Lonchura striata: one gene and its partner. Each later gene encodes a partner of the first gene's protein in a complex. Links are inferred from orthologs where the notes say so. Each region holds a gene or a part of one and is shown in the gene's direction. Other genes may lie near its edges.

Region 1 (3,747 bases):
ATGTCAAGTAGGCAAGCTGTGTGCCAGAAATGCCAAGCTAACGCTGTCCTGTAGAAGACAGCAGTTTTGAACCAGCTATGTTGCACTGAATTACTTCTAGCTCAGATGGTTTTGCAAACTGTTCACAGCTCAGGCATGCAGGCAAGCAGACAGAGCGAGTGGCTGGTTTGGTGGTAAAGAAGAGCATCATGACGGAGTGGCTGCAAAAGATGAGCTTGCCAAATCCCAGCTACTGCTCAGGAGGACAAGACTTCTTAAAATTAAGAACAGGTGAGTATATGTGGAGAAAGTAGGTGCCTATTTGAAATTTGCACAAATGCATTTAGTTATTCTGCTCACAAATGGAAGTGAAATACCTGGTGGACTAACAGGGTACGTTTGTAATAGAATTATAGCCTCTGCCCTTTCACAGCCAACACTTTGACATGAAGTACAGGGGTCGCCAGCTTGTTCACACCCTTTGCTCTTCATCAAAATGAGGTCCTGTGGAGCCAAACTAAAGACACCCTTCCCAAAAGATCAGCTATAATGGCTAACATCCAATATCGCCGCAGTTCAACACCGTATGGCTTTACCCTTGAGAACTCACGAGGAAAGCAACACATGAACCCTGTAGCCCCACGGCCCTAAACACTTGCAAAGTGCGATAGTTTCAGGCCCAAGGAAGCGGGACTGCCCAGCCCAGGCTCGATCCCGCATCCTGCGGGGCAGCGCTCGGGCCGGGCCGCTCCCGCCTCTCCGCAGCGCCACACCGCCCTCTGCCGGCCGCCGGCCGCACTGCGCCGCGCCCGCCGCCGGGGACAGCGCGCCCCGGGATGGCCGCGGATGGCTCCGGCCGGAGGGACCGCAGTGAGTGCGGTCATCGGATCCCGCCGGGCCATCCCGGAGCATGCGGCACAGGGCTGCGATTATCTCCAGTGATGGAGACTCCGCCACTTCTCTGTGCCGCTTTCCCCATGCTCAGGTGGAACTTCCTGTGCATGAGGTTCTGCCCACTGCCTCTTGTCCTGTTGCTTGGCACCACCGACAGAGCCTGGTTTCATTCTCCTGTCACCACCCCTCTCTATATTTGTACACATTGCTGAAGTGACTCGCACCGGCTGCTCCGGTAGCGCCAGCGGGGCTCGAACCCTGAACCACCGCACAGCGAGTGGAGGGGTTGCCATAAGCCCCGCCCCGCCGCTTCGGCGCCTCCGCCCGGGCTCAGGCGTCACTTCCGGCCCGGCGCGGGAAGGCGCCGGAAGTGGCTCCAGAGCGGCCGCGGCGGGGGAGCCCGGCGGCGCCATGGCGGAGGTGAGGCACGGGGAGCGGCCCCGCGCCTTCGCTCTGTCGCGGCCTGCAGACGCTCCGGGCGAGACCAGGGAGCGGGAGCGGGTTGGGGCCGGGCGGGAGAAGCGCCGCCCTGCACCCTCGCAGTCCCCGGGTGGGAAAGGGCTGTAGGGATGGTCCGTGGCGGCCCCTCCATCTGCGCGGCCCCGCCCGCTGCGGCCCGGGGACAGCGAGGTGCGGGTCGGAGTGTGCGTGTGTGGCCGGGAGTGAGCAGCGGCTTTGCTTTGCCAGACTTGTGCCGAATGCCGGCGCTGGGGCCCATCGGGCCGCCAGCTCGTCACCAGAGGGGATTGTCCCGCTCTGCTCTGGGGCGGTCTCACCTCGAGTGCTGGGGTTTGTTTTGGGTACCACAACATCGGGAAAAGGTATAAAGCATATGGAGATGAATAGTCAGAATGAATGGTCGGAGTGAGGAATGGATGAAGTCGTTTGCCATATTCAGCCTGGAGGAGAGGGTGAAGGGAAACTTCATTTCAGTTTACAGCTTCCTCTCGAGGGGAAAGCAGAGGAGCAGGCTCCGATCTGATCGTGGATCCGATCTGTGGTGGTCCAAGAGAATGGCCTGAAGCTGTGTCAGGGGAGGTTTAGGTTGGATATCAGGCAAAGGTCAGGGTGGAGGGGTGCTTGAACAGGCTCCCAGGGAAGTGATCACAGCAGCAAGGCTGACAGAGTTCAATGAGCATTTGAACAATGCTCTTGGGCACAGAGGATGTGCCTCTTGGGGTGTCCTATGCAGGGCCAGGAGCTGGACTCCGTGATCCCTGTAAGCCACTTCCAGCTCAGTACATTCTGTTCTGTGATTGTGGGGAAGTGATGCTGTGATGTTTAACCACCAGAAACCTACTGCTGACTCTGTCAGCCAGCTTCTTTTGTGAGGCCTTGCGAGCACACCTGTGGAGGAGGCCACTGGTTTTACAGGTGGTAGAATCTTTACTGTGGAGTGAATATCATGCACTTCTGAAGGCATGTGGGGCTGTCAGAGTTGTAGAAGAAGGTGCAACAACTGCTGCCTGATGCAACACTATGAGCTATTTTTTTTCAAAAAGCATCCATCAAAAATTACTTGCAGCAAGTTTCTTCCCTGTTGGGGAGACATGGTGGTACCTACTCCTCTGTTTGTCAACAGCTGCTGTTTTTGGGTGGTGATTAGCCATGTTAACATGAAGTGGTACTGTACATAGAAATTAATGACTGCTCATGTTCTTTTCACAGTGGTAGTGAAGGAAAATGTACAGGTGGTTTTTGTTTGTTTGTTTGTTTTTCTGAATTGGCTTCTATATTGCTTACATATGAAAACAGAACTGGGAAGGACGTGGGATAAAAGCTTTTATATTCATGGATTTGTCATGTAAATGCCAGTGCAGAAAGTTGGATTAAAGTTTTTGGCTTGCTTTTCAAATTCTTGTAAGTTTTCAAGGAATAGAATACAGTTTTGAATAAACACTGAAGTAAAACAACTGACATAATAACTTAACTTTTTAGTTTCCAAGAATATTAGTGTCTTCTGTGAACCAAATGGTTGCATGTCATAGAACTGAGAAATTGCTACTCAGTTCAATTTATGTTTCAGTTTTCAGTTTTTGATGTAGATCTGTTCAAACTTATTTAAATACTCTTTTCTTTATTTTAGGAAGTGCAAAAGCATTCTGTGCACACACTTGTGTTCAGGTCTTTGAAGAGAACCCATGACATGTTTGTAGCTGATAATGCCAAACCTATCCCATTGGATGAAGAAAGGTAAGTGCTGCTGCACTCAGTGAAGTTTTAAACTCTGTCAGTGATTGCTCCACCCAAGTCAGAAATTCAGATATTTCTGTACTGGCAACAGTGTAGTTTTGAGGGGAGAGAAATATTAGGGTTGTAAAGTTAAGTTTTATGACATCCTCTCTAAGATATTTCAAAACCTGGTAGCGGTTCAGAAAGTGGGGTTCAGTGAGGATTTTGCTTTTCTCTTGCCACAGTCACAAGGTGAAGATGGCTGTCAAGCTGCGCACGGAGTACGGCTCAGTGCTGCACATGCCCACGCTCAAAGAGAACCTGAGGGAGAAAGGAGGCGCCAACACGGGGGATCCCTATGGACACAAACAGTATTCTGGAAATCAAGGTTAGTTGGCCCCTAGTGCTATATTTGTTCTTTCTTTTGTAACAGTCTCAGTGATGTAAAATCTTCAGAATGCAGTCTAGCGTTAATCCACTGGAGATAAATGCAGAAATCAAAAAAAACCCTTTTTTGATTGGTATTTTTTTGCTAGGGTCCACAGGTGGTAAGTGATTCAGAAATCACTTTGCTTTTAACAAAGGAGTTATTGGGTGCTGTGGATTTTTATAGTGATGAATTAGTAAAAAGAGTAATTTTTGGTAACATTAGTGTGTGGAGTTGTTAGTGTATTAGGTGTTACAGTTGAGTAATGTATTTCT
Region 2 (3,747 bases), on another chromosome or scaffold:
GGCGGCCGCGCGCCGTGAAGGTGCCGGGCGGGCGTGAGCGGGCGGAGCCGCCTCCGTGAGGGGCTGGGGGCGGCCGGGGCTGCGCTGGAGTCCCGCGGCTCCCGGGAGGGAGAGAGGGAGGCCCTGGGCCTGGCCTGCTGCGCGGCCGGGGCTTCTCGTTACTGCGGCAGAGCTGAGAGCTTTGGTATCTCTGTGTGCGCTCTGTGTACAGTGAGCCGTAGCGGCACCTTGGAGGCTGGCGCGAGAAAGGAAGCGCTAAGGTTGGAGAAGGCCTTTAAGATCATGAAGTCCAACCGCTTCTGTTTCCAGCCTCTCGTCAGGAGTTGTAGAGAGCGATGATGACTCCCCGAACCACCTTTTTTCCAACCTGAGCCCCCCAGCTCGCTGAGCTGCTCCTCATCAGACCTGTGACCCTTCTCTGGACATGCTCTGGCACCTCAGTGTCTTGGAGAGAGGCCCCGAGCTGAACCCAGGATTCGAGGCGCAATCTCACCAGTGCTGGAATAAGGGTTACTGCGTGCCCACAAACATAGGGACATCTTTTTCGCCAGTGCCACCTTCCTGTAAAATTTCAAACCCTCCATAGTTCATGAAGTCTCAAAGCTGTTACGTTCTTTTATTCTTCCAAGTGTACATGGGGAGGCAGAGGACAGAGAGCCTTGTGCATCCACAGAGCTCTGGCCAGCACAGGCATCCAGCCATCACTGGGCATTGGAGGAGACACACAGGAGAAACAGTATGGATGTCCCAAGTGTGGAAAAAACCTTATTAGAATCTTTTCTTCCTGGACAAGAAAGAGGTAGAAGGACAAACCTTCCCAAAAAAACCAGTCACATAGTGAAAGCCTGAAATTCCTTCAATCCCTTGTTCCCAAAAGAATGTAGGTGGGAGTGTGCAGCTGCCACAAGAAAACTTACATGACCTGCCTGCAGAAACTTTTATAGTGGAAGTTTGAGAGTTGATTTCCCAAGCAGTTCTCACTTTGTCCAGAATATGGGGTTTTTTTAAGAAATATGTGTAACTTATGCAGTCTAAATATTTGTGGTTTGGGGTTTTTTTTAACAAACTCAGAATAAATTTCCTTTAATCTCAGGGATAACCTGCCTAGCTGTCTGTTGTACATAGTGAGCCATCAACAAGCTTTGCTTAGAGTCTGTTATGTGACAGTCACAAAGCAAATAAGAATGGTTGGTTTCATTTTTAACTTGCTGAGAGAAGACCTTCTTTTTCTCAGCATACAGATTTTATCTGTGTGTCTTAAAAATGTACACTGTTGGATCACCATGGGAAGTAGACAGCTCTGCACACACAGGATTTACCCCAGGGAATTGTGGTAATTATTTTTTTACTCCCTGTGTGGAAAAAAGCAGTTTTCCTCACTTGCACAACTTCTTTGGCTATGAAGACCAATTTTTCAGTGTTTTTTTTCTGTATTTTGACAGCATGTCCTATAAACTGGTCACTAGTATGTCTTGCATGGAAGATGGCCAGAGATGTAAGAGATTTTACTTGGGAACTGGCAGTAGTACTCTGACTTTGTGTAGAAAAGTCAAGTCTATTTGTGTTTTACTATGCATGAGAGGCATGAGTTCATCTCTTGCTCAGTGATGAAGAGGTCCCAAATGACCATGCACTTACTGCCCTGCAAAACAGTACATGTGGGTTTTCAGCATCCTGAGAGGATTTGGAGAAAAACAGAGAACATGGAGAAAATGCATGCCTTTTGCAATAAAGCAAGAATGGGAATGTTTTTTCATAGTCTTTGTTTTTGTTTTTTTCAGGTTTACACTATCAACTTGGAATCTCGCTACTTACTGATACAAGGAGTTCCTGCATTAGGTGTTATGAAGGAGTTAGTTGAACAATTTGCATTATATGGTGCCATTGAGGAATATCATGCTTTAGATGAATATCCAGCAGAGCAGTTTACTGAAGTGTACCTTATAAAATTCAAAAAACTGCAATGTGCAAGGTATTGGACAGGGCAATATCTGCCTCTTGCTGTCTTAATCTTTTACACCTTCTGTACTTGCAATGTGTTAAGTAAAATCCTCAGTTTTGTTGATAGACTTTAATTCCCTTCAGGGTGGCCAAGAAAAAAATGGATGAACGAAGTTTCTTTGGTAGTTTGCTGCACGTGTGCTATGCTCCAGAATTTGAAACAGTCCAAGAAACTAGAGAGAAGTTGCAGGATAGAAGAAAGTATATAGCAAAAGCAACAAATCAAAGAGGTTAGTGATTAAATTTTCTATAGAATCCTGACTAAATTTCCTATAAAATTTTAATGTTCTTCAGGACTGGGTGGGGTTTTGGCTAAAGTGCCTGTTAAAGAAAACTTTTTACCTACCTCTTAAAGATGCTATAGTGTGTGGATGGTGGCCAGATGCCAGGTGTCCACCAAAGCTGCTCACTCACTGCCGTCCACAAACCGGACAGAGGAGAGAAAATTTAACAAACAGTTCATGGGTTGAGATAAGGAGCAGGAGGAAGATCACTTATCAAATACCATCAAGGCAAAACAGGCTCTACTTGGAGACATAATGTGAAATTATTTCTAACAAACTCAAAGCAGGATGAGAATTAAATAAGCCCTTATAACCACCTTCCTCCCTTCTCAGGTCTATCCCCTGCCCAGCAGTGCAAGGGCACAGGGAATGGGGGTAATGGTCAGCTCATCACCCATGGCTTCTCCCGCTGCTCAGGGAGAGGAGTCGCTCCCCTGCTGCCCCCGGGGAGGCTCGGGAGGCGGTTCCCTGTGAACTCTCCAGCGTGAGCGCATCTCGGAGCGGCAGCTCCCTGTGAGCTGCTGCCACGGGTCCCTCCACGGGCACAGCCTCCCCAGCCCGCTCAGGGTGGGTCACTGCTCCGGGGTGCATCCTCCAGGGCCAGGCTGCTCCCGCCCGCAGCCGGGCCCCTCTCCACGGGTCTCCCCCGGGATCGCAGCCTCCTCCCAGGCATGCCCGTGCTCCGGCCCGGGGCTCCTCCCCGGGCTGTGGCGGATCCCGCATCCCCACGGCCCCCACGGGCTGCGGGGCACAGCGGCCTCCCCATGGCGGCCCCGCGGCCTGAGGGAATCTCGGCTCCAGCGCCCGGAGCCCCTCCTGCCCCTCCTGCCCCGACCTCGCCGTCTGCAGGGCTGCTTCTCGCACGGGCTCGCTCTGCTCTTCTCTGGCCGCAGCTACAACTGCACAAACACTTCTTGTTTATTTTCCTGCTTAAATCTGTTACCACAGAGGTGCTACCGCCATTTCTAATCGGCCTGGCCTTGCCCAGTGGCACATCCATCTTTGGAGCCACCAGGAATTGGCTCTGCTGGACATGGTGAAAGAATCTGGCAGCTTCTCACAAAAGTCAACCCTGTAGCCCGCTCGCTACAAAAAAAGGGGTCATGCAAACCCAATACAGAAGCATTTTAAGTATGTTTACAGGGAGACATCTCGCAATATGTAGAGAACTATATCCTTTTCAAAGTATTTTTTTGGCTTTGATTAAGACGAAAATAATGAAATTATTAAGCTTTAATAATTAAGTATTTCCTTCATTTTTTGTTTTCTTTCAAAGTGCTACCAGAAATTTAAAGCGCTGGCAGGAAATTTGGGATCACACTTTTACCTTTGTTCCAGCCTCCTCAGGCATGCCAAAGGGAGAGTTTTGGAATGAATATGACTATACCAGAACCTTCAAAAAATTTCTCCAGCCTACATCTTTGCACTGGGGGAATGTTAAGAATGGACTGTGTTTACAAAG

The links. Proteins that work in one complex are often made in the same cells at the same time.
Region 2: PLRG1 (region 1) and RBM48 share a complex: the UniProt entries of both Homo sapiens proteins name them as parts of the minor spliceosome. The link is inferred for Lonchura striata from reciprocal best matches to the Homo sapiens genes PLRG1 and RBM48.

Annotation. Positions count from the first base shown.
Region 1 is NC_134606.1:42,273,143-42,276,889, forward strand, and holds the start of PLRG1 (pleiotropic regulator 1), read left to right. Parts: upstream 1-1,226; 5' UTR 1,227-1,284; coding exon 1,285-1,293; intron 1,294-2,959; coding exon 2,960-3,066; intron 3,067-3,290; coding exon 3,291-3,433; intron 3,434-3,747. UniProt on the Homo sapiens protein: Involved in pre-mRNA splicing as component of the spliceosome. Component of the PRP19-CDC5L complex that forms an integral part of the spliceosome and is required for activating pre-mRNA splicing.
Region 2 is NC_134603.1:133,592,704-133,596,450, reverse strand, and holds the start of RBM48 (RNA-binding protein 48), read left to right. Parts: upstream 1-783; 5' UTR 784-1,571; coding exon 1,572-1,972; intron 1,973-2,085; coding exon 2,086-2,231; intron 2,232-3,747. UniProt on the Homo sapiens protein: As a component of the minor spliceosome, involved in the splicing of U12-type introns in pre-mRNAs.